Linked DNA regions of Ovis aries. The protein of the gene in region 5 interacts with the protein of the main gene of each other region in a pairwise test. Links are inferred from orthologs where the notes say so. Each region holds a gene or a part of one and is shown on either strand. Other genes may lie near its edges.

Evidence for each region.
Region 1: the proteins of SRSF11 (region 5) and LNX2 interact in a two-hybrid assay, tested with the Homo sapiens proteins (3 studies listed by BioGRID and IntAct). The link is inferred for Ovis aries from reciprocal best matches to the Homo sapiens genes SRSF11 and LNX2.
Region 2: the proteins of SRSF11 (region 5) and SDCBP interact in binary tests that used the Homo sapiens proteins (3 or more experiments, as listed by UniProt). The two-hybrid records come from large-scale screens. The link is inferred for Ovis aries from reciprocal best matches to the Homo sapiens genes SRSF11 and SDCBP.
Region 3: the proteins of SRSF11 (region 5) and HYI interact in binary tests that used the Homo sapiens proteins (3 or more experiments, as listed by UniProt). The two-hybrid records come from large-scale screens. The link is inferred for Ovis aries from reciprocal best matches to the Homo sapiens genes SRSF11 and HYI.
Region 4: the proteins of SRSF11 (region 5) and SRRM4 interact in binary tests that used the Homo sapiens proteins (3 or more experiments, as listed by UniProt). The link is inferred for Ovis aries from reciprocal best matches to the Homo sapiens genes SRSF11 and SRRM4.

The regions. Positions count from the first base shown.
Region 1 is NC_056063.1:32,686,254-32,689,772, reverse strand, and holds part of LNX2 (ligand of Numb protein X 2), read right to left. Parts: intron 2,536-3,519; coding exon 2,377-2,535; intron 679-2,376; coding exon 543-678; 3' UTR 1-542.
Region 2 is NC_056062.1:37,743,198-37,746,716, reverse strand, and holds part of SDCBP (syntenin-1), read right to left. Parts: intron 1,170-3,519; coding exon 1,008-1,169; intron 1-1,007. UniProt on the Homo sapiens protein: Multifunctional adapter protein involved in diverse array of functions including trafficking of transmembrane proteins, neuro and immunomodulation, exosome biogenesis, and tumorigenesis.
Region 3 is NC_056054.1:18,121,526-18,125,478, forward strand, and holds the start of HYI (putative hydroxypyruvate isomerase), read right to left. Parts: upstream 2,802-3,953; 5' UTR 2,687-2,801; coding exon 2,488-2,686; intron 2,409-2,487; coding exon 2,297-2,408; intron 1,336-2,296; coding exon 1,221-1,335; intron 826-1,220; coding exon 747-825; intron 658-746; coding exon 608-657; intron 506-607; coding exon 436-505; intron 348-435; coding exon 1-347. UniProt on the Homo sapiens protein: Catalyzes the reversible isomerization between hydroxypyruvate and 2-hydroxy-3-oxopropanoate (also termed tartronate semialdehyde).
Region 4 is NC_056070.1:56,187,103-56,190,621, forward strand, and holds part of SRRM4 (serine/arginine repetitive matrix protein 4), read right to left. Parts: intron 2,309-3,519; coding exon 2,029-2,308; 3' UTR 1-2,028. UniProt on the Homo sapiens protein: Splicing factor specifically required for neural cell differentiation.
Region 5 is NC_056054.1:46,060,727-46,063,121, reverse strand, and holds part of SRSF11 (serine/arginine-rich splicing factor 11), read right to left. Parts: intron 1,243-2,395; coding exon 1,126-1,242; intron 825-1,125; coding exon 686-824; intron 581-685; coding exon 383-580; 3' UTR 1-382. UniProt on the Homo sapiens protein: May function in pre-mRNA splicing.

The DNA.
Region 1 (3,519 bases), on a different chromosome or scaffold from region 5:
ACTGAGATGAAAGTAGATACAAAATAAGCCAGAAAAATGACCTTTTAAACAGTATTGTTTGAAATGTTGGCACAGATGAAAATGGGGAGCAGCTTCTCCACACTGAGCAGGCGGCCACTCACGGCACTGGCCACCCAAGTGACAGCCCACTTGGCCCGTCTCGGGCACATGGAACTCATTTTATGACTCAGTTACTTAAAACAGAGCTACTGTAAGCCGCCTGATGCAGCCTGCTGGCTCACAGTTTGGGCAGACTTCATTCTTTATTACAGCTCACATTCTGACAACTGAGAACCTGGATTCTGAAAATGTGACCCCACGAGGGTTAGGGGAAGACGCGTTCTGAGCTGAGAGAAATGTGACAAACTGAGGGGGAGGAGGCATTTAAATATTAATAACAAAAGGACAAGCCTGGTGGGTTTGGCCCTGTGTGTCCCAGCTGCGTCAGCAGGCCCTAACAGAAACTTGACAAAACCAAAGGGGTTTCTTCCCAAGACCTAAAAAAATAGGGAAGCTGTTCGACTTAACATCAAATTCAAAATCTACACGAGGCTGCCAGGCCAACAGATGACGGTCAGCGTGACTTTGTTTCTCTGCTCCTTCAGCATGGGGACCAGCGCCGAGTGGCTCATGCCCACGGTCGACAGGCCGTTCACAGCCACGATCATGTCTCCACATCTGGACAACGAGAGACAGAAACAGTCACCGTTTTCACGGTATCAGAAATGTTGTCCTGAGATTTGTTTGGTACACTTACCCATTAACTGTTGATGATCAGGCTATGTGACTTTCTTTGAGAAATATCTGGGTGATTTTTTAAGCCTATGTTGGCTTTCCCTTGTCAACCGGGGACACCCCCGTGCCAGCCTCTCCTGTAACTGGTGGATGATTTCAAAGGAAAGCAGAGTAATTTTCAGAGAAGCTTAAGCAATGTATAGTTAACAGAATAAATCTGCTGCCTCCTTTAAAAATACCACATGATAAATTTGGAGGGGGCTGCTATTTTCATGGTTGATTTTTTACAGTCCATTCGAGGCTTCAACTAAATGAGACCCACACCTCTTTCAGCCAAGGATGCTCACTGTCCTTCAGCTTAATTATCACAAATGGATGGTGAATCTGAAGACCTTTCTATCTTTTATAATTTTTAGTCTTTATTTTGAATATGAATATGTTACTTTCTTGTGATCTAGTTCAACTTCTTTTAGGAAGTGGAAGTTAATTAGTCTATAATTTACACGAGACCCAGACTGGCTGAACAGTTGGCTAAGAGAATGGTTATTTCATCCCAGCCTCCCACTCTTTGCTCCTGAAGTGATTTTTTCATCTCTACCAGGTGACAGTGGGATCTGGAGCACACTGACCCTGATGGATTTTCCTCGATATTCCCGAGCTGTTGCTCTGTGTTTGCAAAATGTAAATGCCCTGATTTGTGCAGCACTCTGACTAGGATGTCAGCATCTACTTTTTAAGAACTGTTTCTTGCATCCAAAACTAGGTCCTAAGAACTTACAGTCACCCGTCTCCTCTGTCTGTATAATCTCTTGATGGAATGCCTCTTTCTTCTCATGGTGCCTGAGCTCTGAGAAAGGTGGCACAGAGGCTGAGAGGGTACTTTTTGCCCAGTGGTGACAACAGCAGGGGCTGAATGGCCAAGACTCCTAGATTAACTGCTGTCAACGACTTCCAGCTATTTGACTATAGGCAGTTTTTTAACCTGAATCCTCAGTGTCTTGCTTATAAAATAGGAACACCAGCAGCACCTACCTCGCAGGCTGCTAAGAAGGTGCAGTAACCCATAGCCAGCACCTAGCACCACGCCTGGCACGCACATCATCCATCAATACTGATGAAACCTTTACTACGAATGCAAGGCCCCACGCTGCCTGCCAGGGATCTAACACAAAATGCAACAAAATCCCTCCCATGTGGACTTGCGTGAATTGAGCATTACGTTGACATAAGTGCTGTAGAGAAAAGTCACCTACTGACAGGACTGGACTCAGGTGCTCAGGGCAAGCTTTGGGTCATGATGTGTCCACATGACTCTGCGTTACTGTTAATCTCACAAGAGGCACTGACCTGTGGTACCAAGATGCTTCAGTCTGGATCAGGCCTGGCAGATCTGTCTCTGTAAAGGGCCAAATGGTAGGTAGACAGAGGGCCTGGGCTCTGTGAGTCACTGGTCTCGGGACTGGCCACTTGGCTCTGCCATCACATCTCAGAAGCAGCCCGGGGAGATAGGTAAACAAGGGAGCATGGGTATGTTCCAATAAAACTTTATTTACAAGGATGGACAACAGGCTGGACTTGGGAGCTGACCTTGTGTCCATCACAGTAAATGCAAATCACATCATTAAACACAATAAGACTCACTTTAATCTTCCGTCGTAATAAGCAGGGGTCCCCAGGACGATAGTTTTTATGAAAAAAGGCTGATTGGTATGGTTCTCTTCGTATCCACCGACGATACTAAAGCCCCAGCTTCCCAAGTAGCTTCTTCGCAAGACTATGTCATGGCAGCTATGAAGGGCACTGTCAACACAGAGACCAAGAAAAATTAGTGTGAGGGTTTTTTATAGCCTGTTCATCTTTGTTGTAACTCCACACCATGGTCCGTGCCTCCATTATGGATGGGGAGCAACATACAACATGCCAGAACAGAGCTGCTCATGTGCTCTGGTTTCTTAGCTCAATGAGAAGCACTTAACAGAACACTGACAGAAGTTACTTTGCACAAAGGAACGCTTGTGGTGTTACTACATCTCTGGTCATTAATGTGTAAAAAAGCTTCCAGTAGAGAGGAGTCCCATGCATTGGCCTAATGTTTTAGGACAGTACAGGTTATTTTCGTTATTCTGAATCTTCTGCAGAAGATAAAACAACGCAAACAAGCAGGTGTGTGTACATGCCAGCACACACAGTGGAAGAGCCCCCGCTCCCACCCCACCAGGGAAAGCAGAGCTGTTGCCCCAAATGACAGCCCTCTGACCCACGGTCATTGAATACTGGTTTGTATACAATAGAGATCTCTGGGAGTCTACAGAACAGTGGCTGTTTAGTGACAGGTATTCCTTTGACCTATACTAAACTAGGTTTTAGTATCCTGTGTTTCTTCTTTTATATTGGAGTATAGTTGATTTAGTTTCCCTGGTGGCTCAGCAGTAAAGAATCTGCCTGCCAGTCCAGGAGACGTGAGTTCGATTGCTGGGCTGGGAAGATCCCCTGGAGGAGGAAATGGCAATCCACTCCAGTATTCCTGCCTGAAGAATCCCACAGGCAGAGGAGCCTGGCAGGCTACATACAGTCCATGGGATCGCAAAGAGACAGACACAACTTAGTGACCAAACACCACCACAGCTGATTTATAACGTTGTTTTAGGTATACAGCTAAGAGATTCAGTTATATGTATCCATTCTGTTTCAGGGTGTTTTCCCATATAGGTTATTATAGAATATTGAGTACAGTTCCCTGTGCTATACAGTAGATCTTTATTGATTATCTGTTTTGTATAGAGT
Region 2 (3,519 bases), on a different chromosome or scaffold from region 5:
AGTAAGAGATGAAAGCAACCACAGGTCGCACCCCTTCTCCGTCCTGAGCTGCCCCAGATTTGGTGCTGCGTAGCCTGTACTCAGATTTGGTGCTGCGTATCCTGTACTTGAGGACGGCACCCAGCAGAGTGGCTACACCTACAAGCTTCGGCCACTGGACAAACCACTGCAAGGATAACTGCTGCAGGGGTGGAGCTGCGGAGAGTGTGGTCTCTCTCTAGGATGTAGAGAGGGCAGGGAAGTGCGAGCTTCCCAGAGCAGCACACTCAATGAGGGTCTCACACAAGCCACAAGTGTGCAAAGACACAATGCCCTCAGCCTCTGGGGAGGCAGGTAGGGCCCGGACTGGCCTCAAACATCTTCCGCCAGGCGCCACATCTTCTACATGCAAAGGCTGGATGCGCTGAGCTATGAGACCGAAGACTGAAAAGAAGCCCAATAAATAACCTGGAAACCCACAAATCAGGGTAAAGACTCAGCACCTCCTTAGTGATCCTAAGTGCTTCCCCACAGAGTAACCAGGTTTCATTTCTTCCATCTGGTAAGGTGAGAGGTGAAGTAATGTACTTTAGAAAGTCACTGTTGCCTGGAAAATGCCCCATGAAAGTCAAATTCAAGGATGGAAATAACAAACCCCAAACCACATTACAAGTCACATGATCGTCTTTAAGTTTAAAAATACACAAGACCACTGACCCTCACCTATCAGTCTTAACTTCCACACGTTACCCTATTTCAATGCCAGCATTCTCCTTGTATGAACTATGTTATAATACACGCAGACTAGTGAACTTTATTCCAGAAAAAGGACTCAGAAAAAATTCATCCATGGTAATGCTCAAGTCCCAGCTCTGCCTCTTCAGAACAGGGTAGCATCTCACGTGGAAAAGCAGATTAAAAGTAGTCTTGATCAGAGAGCACCATTACACTTCATTAAAGCATTTACATTTTAAATTGTAACTGGGTCACATAACAGCTAATCAGACAAGTGTACTGAAAGCACTTACATTGTCTATGGATTTCAGCCGGAGCCCAATCTTCCCGTCTTGATCCTTACACAAGATGACTTCTCGGATCCCTTGCTTGATCTCTGCTCTGCGGATCCCAGTGTCGCCACCAGTGACAGGGGCCACCATGTGGTCCATGCTGGAAGGCCGTGCCACCAACTGCTGCCAAAGACACATGCAACACGTCAGTATTCGCAAACACGCGCCCTGAGAAAATCCAAAATTGAACATATTCTGTTGTGGTTTCCTAAAATGTAATCTGCCGATTATTTCCTTCAGATATGAGTTTTGCAAAAATGACCCTATTTTGTTTTTTAAAACTAATTCTGCAGGTAATTTACCCCCCCAGACACCATCTCCAGCAGACTCAATGACTCTGTTGCCCGATGAATTCACTGGCATTTGTTTTATGTGTACCCTGGCTTGTTTTCAACTCAAATATATTATCCTTGAACTTTATAAAGGCTGTACTTTACTTTTAAACTCACACAGCATCTTCCTGAGGGTTCTTTTATATGGCCTTCAACAATGTACTTACCCTTTCAGAGTTTTTATTACAGAGGCAAACTTCTTACCTCACAGCTCCACTACAAGGACTAAAAGCACCTACTAGTCAAGTGCTGACACACACAAGACAAATGTTATTTTTCATCCCTTTGGTAAACATCTGTGGATTAACCAACTGTATGGAGAATAGCTGTACTAGGGACTCCGTTAGGTACCAGGCCTCACATTCCTAATTTTTTTTTCTTGACCAAAATGAGTTTAGTGTTTTAAGTGGACCCTTTCCTCTACCAAAGAAAATGAGGGAAGAGCATATTTGTTACCAAAGCGTCTTAACCGGAACCTGTCATGAAAAGCTCTGGTCTGACACCGTGATGCTCAGAACAGCCATGATGGGGGAGAGAAACCTCAGCCGCACACACACAGGCTGCCAATGTCTCCGTTCAGAATCACAGTCACCAGGACATCACACACACACAAAGAGCCATACCACTAATCAAGCACAATACCAGAAAATACAACTTTTGAAGAATTACAAAAATTCAATGATTACAGCTATAAAAGCATAAAAATCAGGCAATGGGATAGAAAAAATTAAGCAAATGAATTTAGTTTAGCTGAAACATAGGACAAAAGGGAGGAGCTTTGGAGTATAACTTTTGGAAAAGAATTTCTTTCCAGCAAGTACAGTTAAGTGCTTACTCGGTGTTCTTACCATGATCCATATGACCAACACATGACCACTGCTCCCTCCTGCTAAGGCTACTATGACCACCATCTACTCTTGCCCTTCTATTTGCCCTCCACACAGCAAGCACTGAAACCCTTTTGTTAATCCCACAACTCAGACCCCCAACCCCTTACCCTGTCCACAAGGCCACAGACTACCTGGCCTGACAGCCCTTCCAATGTCACCCCCCAGTGCATCTGCAGCCACATTCTGTCTCATCTGCCCTCACCGAGGTCCTGTCTCTCAGGCCTCTCAAGCTCATTTCTGCCCGGAAGCCTCTCAAGGTCTCTGTATATACTGGCTAGTAAAGCTGAACGTACTTACTATGGTTCCCTTACCAGAAAATATTTGTTGCGCGTCAACAAATGTGAAGAAATATGAAGAAAGAAGCCTGTGGGCACACTGAAGAGAAGAGAGGCCAGCAAGCGTCACAGACTGTCCGTGCCTTCCAAGCCCACCCTCTGTGGTGAGCCCTCTTCTGCCATGGCTTTCTGGTCAGGACCCCTCGCGAGGAGGACGTGCCAGGGCCTGCCCCTTCCTGTCTGCTTCCTGCTCCTGCCAGTACTGCCTGGGGCCAGCCCTTCATGCTGCTGGCAGCAGGTGACTCCAGTCTCCAGATTCCAGACACTGGCAGCACAGCCTCCCTGCAGCCCCCAGAGGTACCAGCATCCATCACAGGGGGCCCTCCCCTGAGGCCCAGCTCACGGGGCTCCTCCACCAACACTGTTGGCTCTGCGAACTGTAACCCCCATCCCGTATGCCCCAGTTCTAGGAGAAGCAGCTTTCTGGGTTCCGCTTTTGCTTTTTTCAATTCTTCAACCTCTCTGATTTCTTGTTATCTCTGTTAAAATTCTTGTGTGATTTCTGTTGTTCCACCTGGACCCTGACTGATGTAAGCAAGTTTTCAATAAATATTTGGTGAATAAATTGAAAGCCAGGTACTGTACTAAGCATGGGAGTTATGGCAGCAACAGAGACATAAAGGCTGTCTTCATGAAGTTATGCATTTACCTATGACAAGTACTGTAAGGTATTACAGTCTTATAGCAACAATCTTAACAAAAGACTGAGACACACTATATTTAAGCCAAGAATTTGGGGTCAAACTGTAAGAAGCTTTAAACTTAAAAAGATTATGAGCAAAAAAAAGGTAACAGACCTGAATTTCAGAATGATAAAGTTAGCAGTAGCTCAGCATTCATTGATATAACAAGTTACTAGAGGAGTTACTGGAAGAAGAGCCAAGTGTAACATCTAGGTGAGAGGTATAAATCATGG
Region 3 (3,953 bases), about 28 Mb from region 5:
CCAGAGGCATGTGGCTGGAGCGCAGGACCTCACTGGCCAGCCTGCGGGCGGCCCCTCATCTCCCAGTATGAACGCAGCCAACTCAGGCCCTCTGCTGTGTCTCCTGAGGGGAGCGGGCGCGCGGCCTCTCAGGCCATGAGGAGGAAGACAGCCCCTGTCGACAGTGTCCCTCCAGAGGCCCTTCCCTGGGGCCAGGCTCAGCCCACCCTCACCTCGAGGCTGGTACTCGCAGCCCACGAAGCCTGTGTAGCCTTCATCTTCCAGCAGTTGGAACAGATATGAGAAGTTGAGCTCTCCGGGGCTGTCGGGTTCCCCCCGACCGGGGACCTGTGCCACCTGCACGTGCCCTGGGGGTAGATGTTGGGGGTAGAGAGAGTGGAAGGACAGGGGAAGCCTCATGGCAGGCCAGGAAGAAGCCGAGAAAGGGGCCCTCACCAACAATGGGCAGGAACTCTCGCACGTTCCCTGTCAGGTTCCCGTCCATGATCTGCCAGTGGAATAAGTCCTAGGGCAGAGATGCCCCAGTCAGAGACCCTGCAGCCCACACCACTGTCCCTGGATTTGGAGAACACGGCCCTCTGAGAAGCACACCCTCTCCCCCACTTACCATCTGTAGCTGGAGGTTGGGTCTTCCCACCTTCTGTAAGATGGCTGCCGCTGGGAGAGAAACCAGGGAGAGGGGTCGTGAGACTCAAGGAGGGCTGGAGAATCAATGGACAGGAGGCGGCCGGGGGTTGGGGGCCTACCCTGCTGGGGCGTGTCCAGGAAATACCGGGGGTCCGTGATGCGGGTGTTTATGGGCTCCAGCAGTCCCACGAGGTTCTCCTAGCACCAGGCCAGATCTATGAGTAGAGCTCTCCCCAAGTTCGACCCCCTCAGTCAGTCACTGCTCAAGCCGATCCCCAGCCCTTCTGGCCTCGGCCAGGGCCCAGCCTTGTGCCTCACTGCGCTCCCTACTGTGCTTCCCCTCCACATACATACATGAAGTATGTGTGTCTGTATGTGTTTTCACTGTCTCATGTGGGTGCTCAGCCATGTCCAACTCTATGCGACCCCATGCTCCTCTGTCCATGGGATTACCTGGGCAAGAATACTGGAGTGGGTTGCCATTTCCTCCTCCAGAGGACGTTCCTGACCCAGGGATCAAACCCGCATCTCCTGCATTGGGAGGCGGATTCTTTACCACTGTGCCATCTGAGAAGCCCCTTTCACTGTCTCACCTGAGCCAAAACCTCAGCTGCGTGCCTGAGGTTCTCCAGGAAAACTACCTCCATTTCACCCCTGACCGCGGTTCTGTCAGCCCCCTTGGGCACTCGGCCAGCCATCAGGTGAATCCTGTGGGGAAAATGGGGCTGGAGGGGGGCTGTGGAGTCCATCCTCACCAAAGAAGCCTTCACACCCATGCTCGCTGGGTACTTCTCTTCCAGCTGCCCTCCGACTGCACCAGCCTCCCGTCTCCCCAGGTCCCCAGTGAGACCACCTGGCTGTGGTGCTCAGGCCTCCCGGCGCCCTCAGACACTTGTGTCAACCTAAGACCGAGGCTTTTCCCAGATTCCTTCTGAAGGCCCACCATCCTCCTGCTTCAGAGACCACAGGCCCTCACGCAGCCCCTCCTGTACATCCAGATTCTCCTTTTCCATGGCCCTTCTCCTCAAGCCTCACCTTTAAAAAATTACTTTGACCCTTATGCTCAGGTATTCCACGCTGCTTGTCTCTCCTCCTTGCATCTGTTTCTTAGCTGCTTCCCATCTGTTTTCTGCACACACACTCCTCCCTCTGCCCCATAACTGCTTGTTGCCAGTTCCTTCGCAGTCTGGTTGCCCTGTGCAGGATTTGACATTCACCTTATCAGCCCCACTCTGAGTCCCCCACCTTCTCCCTTCGCCACCTCATCTTTCTCAGTCACCTCCAAAGCAGACAGACTTCACCTCCAGCCTCATAATCTCTGCAGAATACACCAAGCCCCGGGGGCGTGTGGCTACTGCACCGCTGCCTGGAATGCTCCTTTGGTCAAGCAAGCACCCACCCCGGAGACCCAGTTCAACATCACTACCTGTTATGAAGCTTTCTCTGCTCCCAGAGTCTCCTTGAACTGACTGGGTTATGTCCCAGGTCATACTGAGTTCTCAGCATGAGGTGAGCAAGAAAGAGTTGCAAACTGAGAGTGACGTACACACAGATGAAATGCAAAAAGGCAATTTACAAGGGACCAGGACTAAAGAGGCAGAGACGGGAGTACCCCTGAGCCTCTTCTCTCGCGGATTATGGGGGCGGGGGAATGGAGAGGGGAGGTTACCTGGAACAGCCCAGAGCCTTAGCGTACAGCACCGCCTGCTCCAGCCCTTCTCGGAAGGCCGCCTGCCTCCCGGGAACAGCCCCCAGCCCATTCTCCCCCTTCTCTCTGTCTCCTGCGGAAAGAATGGGCCTCAGCTCCCTGCTCCTTCCCCACTGCCCCACCCTGTCCCGGCCTGGGCCCTCCCTGCGCACCTGGGGGCGTGTTGATTAGCACCACCCGTAGCCCGGCTTCCCGCGCTGCGCGCGCCAGCGCCTCCGGCGGCTCCGCATACGGCCAGCCGATCTCGGCTGCTTCGAAGCCCGAACTGCCCGCGGCCCGGAGCCGCGCGGGAAAGCCCGACAGCTCCGGGAACAGCCACGACAGGTTGGCCGAGAAGCGGAGCGGAGCCATGGCTACTCGAGAGCGCGCGCGGGGAGGAGTCCCCGCAGCTAGAAGGCTGCAATGGCGGGCAGGGTCGAGCGGGGACTCGAGGGCCCGCGCTGCCTGCAGGGCCGGGGAAGAGACTGGAGGGCCGCACTTGCGGGGCGGGGCGGGGCGGGGCGGGGCGGGGCGTGGAGGACCCGGAAGTGGTGGAGGAACCCGGCCCGGCCGCGCGGGGGCGCACTGGCGCCGCGAGCTGGGTGCCGGCCCTCTCCCGCTGGCAGACCCGTGGGTGGTAAGGGCCGCGAACCTGCCAGAAAAGTGCACTTTTCCGGACGGGAGAGGAAGGCATGGGGAGGGGGCGCGGGCCCAGTTAGGGTGAAGGAACGTGGATGCTAACAAACGCTTGGTGTTTACCTTCATTATAACCAGAATATCTGTTCATTAAAGAACTTTTGATAGCCATGTGCCGCACCACTCAGCCGTTAACTTTCCTGTACAGGGCAAAAACTCAACACGTACAGTCTTGTCCTAGAAAACCCTGATCACAGTGTATATGAGGTCTTATGGCATATTATTTCGTTTTCCCAGAGAAAATCTTGAATTAGCTGCTCGTTCCGCACCTCAACAGCCTAGAATTGATCATGCTTACAGGGGTTTCAAAGTGTGTGTGTGTGTGTGTGTGTGTGTGTGTGTGTGTGTGTGTGTGCGCGCGCGCGCGCGCGCGCACGTGTGCTATAAAAGCTCTTTAATGCACCTTTTGGTTCCATCTCTGAATCGTTTTCTCAGGTTCCTCTTGTAGGTACAAAGTTCAAAGTCCCTTGTAAGGCAAACTGCCCCCACCACTGGACTCAGCGCGGAGCTGCTGTGGGCGGCCTGTCTCCCTCAGCCCCAGCTGATTGGGCCACGGAAAGACATCTGATCAAGCGCAGCCAATCCATAGACGGGCCCGAGACCCTTGTCCAGTTTGTAAAGCTGATCTGGCCAATTAGATTCCCTCTTGGAGAGTTCAAACAAGGAAATCCTGAGAGCCAAGTAAGCGATGGGTTTGGCAGATGGTTCTGGCTGTACAAAATAAATAAGCTGGAGTCAGGTGGTGAGGAAAATTAGAACAGAGAAAGAGAATAACCGAACACTACGAGTAGGCGTAGCACATTGTGATACCGCTGCTTTAGAGTTCCCAGGACTGACCAAACCCACGGCAGCTCCCAGGTCTACGCTTCCTCAGGCCAGGATGTTTAGACTTTCCCTGGTTTCTGTGTCTGTAGTTTCCTGGTGTTTCTTCAGATCATCCGAA
Region 4 (3,519 bases), on a different chromosome or scaffold from region 5:
ATAAATAAGAGGTTAGCTAGGAGCCCCAGGCAAAAACGGTCCCCCAGAATTGCGTGTATGAAGGCAGTCTGGACGGGGGCTCTTGAGTCTTTCACTGCTGTCCTGCTAAGGAGGTTCCGTGGCTCCAGAAAGCCTTTGTTTCCATGAAGGGAGACTGGAGTCCAGTTCGGGCTCCTGGGCAGGGAAGAGGGTTATTTACAGTTGCTGCACAGGCCCTCCCAGGGCACCTGCCCCTGCCCCAGGCACCTGCCATCAGGCCTCCAGTGACCGCGCTGGCATCCGTTGGTCCTGGCGGGCGGGGCCCAGTTCTGGGCCAGCGGGTGCCATGGAGAGGCTCGGTCCCCCGCTGCTGCCCCGGGGCCTGGCTCCCCTCTCCTGCTGGAGGGAGGACGTCACTGCTTCTCAGAAACAGGATTTTTTTTCCCCCAAATGTTTCCCCTCCTCAGGGCACAAGGGATAAAGAATATTTGGTTCTCTGCTTCCCAGAGCCCCAGGTTCCAAAGCTGGGCGCTGTCCCTCTCACCCTCTCCCTGCACGCCCTGCCCTGCTGCTGTTGCCACCACAAACTGGAACCTCACCGCAAGGCTCCGGAAAGCCAGTCAGCTGGTGAGGGGGATGCCCCAGAGTTTATTTTAAGGATCTTCTCCCTCATGCCCCTGTTCTTAGTGCCCTCTGTGGGTGAAGCAGCTGGTGGTATTTGTGTGCTGCAGATCAGCTTACCTTCACTGCCCAGCCCTGGGGGGTGCTGGGGGTAAGTGGGGTGAGGGCAGAAACGAGGGTGGGCTTCTCTCAAGCTGGTAAGAGCTCTGGAAACCAGCAGGAGCTTCGGAGCATCTAACCTCCTTTCCCCCAGACTCTCTGGATTTGGATCTTTTCCCCAAACCTGGGCTGCTGTGCCCCATCCTGGCAAAATTCCCGAGGGGCAAAATGGGTGCCTCAGGCTGAGGGTGGTAGGTGGGTGAGAAGGTGCTTGGCTGCACTGGGTAGGATCCAGGGTGCCCTTTCTGGGCAGTGGGGAGGGGGCAGGCAGGCGCCAACTAGAGGGTAAGGCCAGACTGGCTGGCGCTGGGGACTGGCAGCTGGCCACAGCACTGGGGAATGTTCAGCAGATGGTCCCGTGGAACTAAGCTGTTGCCAGCTACTGGGGCCGAGGCAAACTTGGGAAGTGGGGTTGCAGACCCAGCTGTCCTGACTGTCCGTTGTGTCCTTTCTCAGAGGTCGCAGGGTCCCTGTGAGCCACCACGAGGCATTTTGTGTAAATGGCGTGGTGACCTCTCCATGGCTAGAAACTACTGGGCCCCTCTTCCCGACCACAAGGAGATACTGGGAGCAGTGGGCTTATCCACCCTCGTTCTTGCTTCTAGACTCATGACAGAGAGTTCATCTCCTAGCTCCTGACACCTACTACCAAGTGAAATGTCCATGTCCCCTAGTCACGTGTCCCCCTTTCTAGGACCCAATAGCCTTTCAGCACTTGCTCTGGCCTATGTGGGGAGCTAAAACTCCTGATCCCCTCTCCTGGACCTGAATCACCCTGCTCTCTTCTAATATCCACCCCTCACCCCATGGGATCCACGGGGGTCCATATACATGTAGCCACGAGATTGGGTGAGAGGAGAATGAGGGCAGATGTGATAAATACCGCTGGTCTTCGGTGTGCAGCCTGGCAGCAGTGGGTTAGCAGAACTCTCTCCACATTTTCCTGGCCAGACCCAAACTTCTGAGTCATGGACTCACCGCTCCTTATAAACCATTGAGGCTTTTCTGTGCCAAAAGAAGGTAGTCTTCTCCACATGCTCAGGCCTGAGCTGAGCCCCAGCAGGTGTGGTGGAGGCTCCCAGTAGCTCCACATGGAGACTGAAGCCCCCACACCCTCCTTTCCTCTTCCCCAGGAGAGCAGGAAGGACAGGGCCTGGGAGCCCTCAGTGCTGTCTGTCACCAAGGAGAAGGCAGGGTGGTCGGGGAGTGGGGGAGGCTGCCAGAGTGAAAGGGGCTCCACAGGCAGTGGGCTCACGGGAGGGCCCTGGCTTAGCGCCTTGTGCTGGAGTAGCTGTCTGCTGAGCTGTAGCTCCCACTCCGACTTCGACTCCGGCTCCGGCTCCGGCTCCGGGAGCCCAGGCTGGGGCTGCGGGAGCTGCAGCTGCTGCTAGTGAGGGTCCTGCTCCGGCTGCGGCTGCGGCTGCGGCTCCGGGAGTAGCTTCGGCTGGCTGAGCGGCTGCTGCTGCTGCTGTACCAGGAGGAGGTGCTGCTGAGGCCGCTGGAAGAAGAGGGGCTGGGCCGGTAGTACGGGATGGGGCGTTTCCGGGCACTGCAGAGATCAGAGGGGGAAAGTGTCACGGCAGGACTCCTCCCAGCTGCAATCCCGGGAGCACAGGCATTGTCCTAGGAGACATGTCCCAGCTCCTTAGGGGGAAAAAAATTCCTGTTACTCTTCTCTTGCAGTCCTGAGAACATCAAGGAGGTGGTCTCAGTCTAGTGCTGATATGCTTTGAACAGTGATAATCTCGCTTTTTTAACATTTCAAGGCTGGGCTCAGAGAGAGCATCCAGCTGGCCCCAGAATCTACATCTCAACTTTAATCACAGTTTTGTTTTGCTATTTTTATTTTTACTAGAACCTTCTATCTATGGCAAAAGAGCTTGATTTTTCTATTTATTGTAGTGTATCAAGTTTCGTTTTGAAATAAATGTATGGACCTAAAAAAAAAAAGGCGTATCTATTCAAAGAAATTTAAGTAAGCAGTACACTTAATCAGACAAGGCAAAAGTGGTGGGTGATGGAAGCCTGGAAAACACCGAATGGATTCACTCAGGTGGGTTATTTGGGGTTGAGTACAGAACCCAGAGAGCCTTTGGAAACACCACTCCCTTTTTCTTAGACTTCCTCCAAGTCCACTCCAAGGATACCTCTGAAAGTCAAGGCAGAGAGTGTAGGACTCCCACCGCATGTCTCAGGCCAAGGCAGGCTGTTCAGTGAGACGTCTGAGACATGACACCATTACCTTGCCTTACCGTCTGGGGCACAAGCTCTTTTTTCTCCTTCAGGTCATCTCTAGTGAAGAGGCATGGGCAGCCAGGGTTCTCCTTTCCTTGTGGGTCTCTGGACTGAGGAGCTGACCCTTGGAGGACCAGGAGGAAGACCCACCAATTTTCAAACGCCGCTTTTAGGGCAGCATTCGGCCATTTTCTCCATGTCAAGGCCTGAGGATTCTCTTCTGGGGCTTTTCTCATCTGAGGCTTTACCTGTTGCAGAAATCTTTACCTACCAAGTCTGACCATCCAGTCCATCACAGTGGCACACAGTGGGCTTAGTGCTCTGCATTTAAGTGTGTAAATTGCACTCATATCTCTTTGCCCCTTTTCATTTTATCCTTTTGACACTTCTAGGAGTTATTTCCTCCAGCAGTTTATGGGTGAAAAAAAGATTCTGGGAGGTGAAGAGACTTTCCCAGCTCACCCGGAAAGTGGCACAGCCAAGATTCCTCTCCAAAATACTGGTCTTCCCCTTACCCACTAGCGC
Region 5 (2,395 bases):
ACATGGCTCTATTACGGCAATGAATCAAATTCTAGAAATACTATAAGTGAACTTACTTAATAAAGGAGATCATACAACATAAACAATCCATGCCTGCTGTAGATGCATGCAGCTTTTCATTTTTGTTATGAAGCAGCACCAGGATAGTAAAACTGCTTGGTTACTCAATCAGATTTCACCCTGTCACGAATTGGTTACCCCTGTATCATTTTCCTAAAAGCTTTTGGATGTAAATAACTAATATCAACATCAGGAGCTTTATAACCATTTATGACTCAGAGCTGTATACATCTAGGTTTGAGATGAACAAATACAGCATTAAGAAATCACACAGGAATGACACTGATGCATGTACACAGTTAGATTCCCACAGAGGCATGGTTCAGTCACTCATATCCATGTCTTCTTCATGATGATCATCCCCATTCACTTTAGATTCTCTTAGTGAATCACCAGTTCCCTTTTCCACAGAACATTCTTTTGTTTTAGGAGAACCTGGTTCTGCTGGTTTCTTCTCCTCCTTTTTCTCCTTCTCGCTGTCATACCCCTGTTCCTCTTCATCGTAGTCCCGTGTAACCTGCTTTGCCAAGGAGAATAAGAAAAGTAAACGTCTTCACAGAAAAATTACTTCTTTAAAGTACCAACATCAACTAAAACACCAGAATATATTAGTTTGTAAACATACTTTTACATCTTTATCACTCTCTGATTTTCTTTCCCGTTCCTTTTCCTTATCTTTACTTTTCTTCTTCTTGCTTGTGGATCGCTCTCTTTCATCTCTGCTTCTTTCTTTGTCTTTATCTTTCTTCTTCTCCTTTTTATGTCTAGGATGACAGTAAAATGCTCACAAGATGCTTGAAACAAAGTGCTCAAGAATTTTTGCCATTATTTAAACAGCAATAAGTTTAAATTTGTTTTAGATGGTAAGCTTGATGTTAAGTTCACTGCTATAAGGAGATTACAGGTCTAAAATGCCTAATCATAAACAGTGTTTATTTTAACAATCTCAAGTCATGAAGAGAATGTATCAGCACATTCTTAAGTATTTTAATTCCTGAGAAGGAAGAAAAATCCTAGGACAGTTTCTGAAAAACAGGATAGATCTAATAAAAGATTAATACTTACCTTCTAGGGGATGGTGAACGAGACAATTTTCTTTTGGGAGACCTAGGCTTTTTAGGAGATCTTGTACCACTTCTGCTTCTTCGTCGTCGTCTCTCTCTAGAAGAACAAATGTGCAAACTAGACTTTAAAATACAGTGTTATTCAAAAAATGCAGGCACATCATACCAGAAATGTCTACAATGGAACTCCAATAGAAACAGAAAACTCCATTTTCAAATATTGTTTGGAGCTGAAGAAGCAAATGGGTAATAAAAGTCGGCAACTTTTTGGGGGTAAACTATGTGCCTTTCCTTTAATGCCCTTAGGAAAGCCCTAATTTCTAGCAATTCTTAAAGACATGATGTCATCAAAACATCAGAAATGTTAAGCTCAAGGAAAAACTGATCAACAAAGGTGCTAATTCAAGTCTGAAGTAAATTATTATTCAAAGAACCAGCTTTAGATTCAAAGGACAGAACATGTAAAGGATTAATGTGTTGTGTTATGGAAGGCAGTTGCTAATGAAATTCAAAACTACTTCTAAATCATCAGGTAAAACAGAGAACCGAGAACTAGAGTTAATGGTGGTGGTGGTTTAGTTGCCAAGTTATGTCTGACTCTTTTGCAACCCCAAGGACTGTAAACCCACCAGGCTCCTCTATCCATGGGATTTCCCAGGCAAGAATACTGATGTGGGTTGCCATTTCCTTCTCCAGGGGATCTCCCGACCCAGGGATCAAACACACCTCTCCTGAACTGCAGGCTGATTCTTTACCACTGAGCCATCAGGAAACGGGGATCAAACTGACTTCCTGTTGTCCAGCAAATCATGCCCCTAATCCAATCCCTATTTTGAGCAATTAGCTTTTTAAGATATACCTCCTTCTCTTTAAATTGACTTTTTAAAAACTCCTGCTTCTACAATACAAACAGATGGAAAGCTTTGCTGTGTTCTTGGACTGGAAGTACCAATACTGTTAAAATGACTACACCACCCAAGGTAATCTAAAGATTCAATGCAATCCATATCAAAATACCAATGGCACTTCCTGCAGAATTAGAACAATTTTAAAATTTGTATAGAAACAAAAACAACCTTGAATAGCCAAAACAATCTTGACAGAAAGAACCAAGAGCTGGAGGAATCACATTCCCTGGCTTCAGACTATATTACAAAGCTATAGTAATCAAAACAGTACGGTACAGGCACAAAAACAGACACATCAATCAATGAAACAGAGTAAGAGTCCAGAAATAAAGGCACACACTTATGGTCAGGAGGCTAGAATAT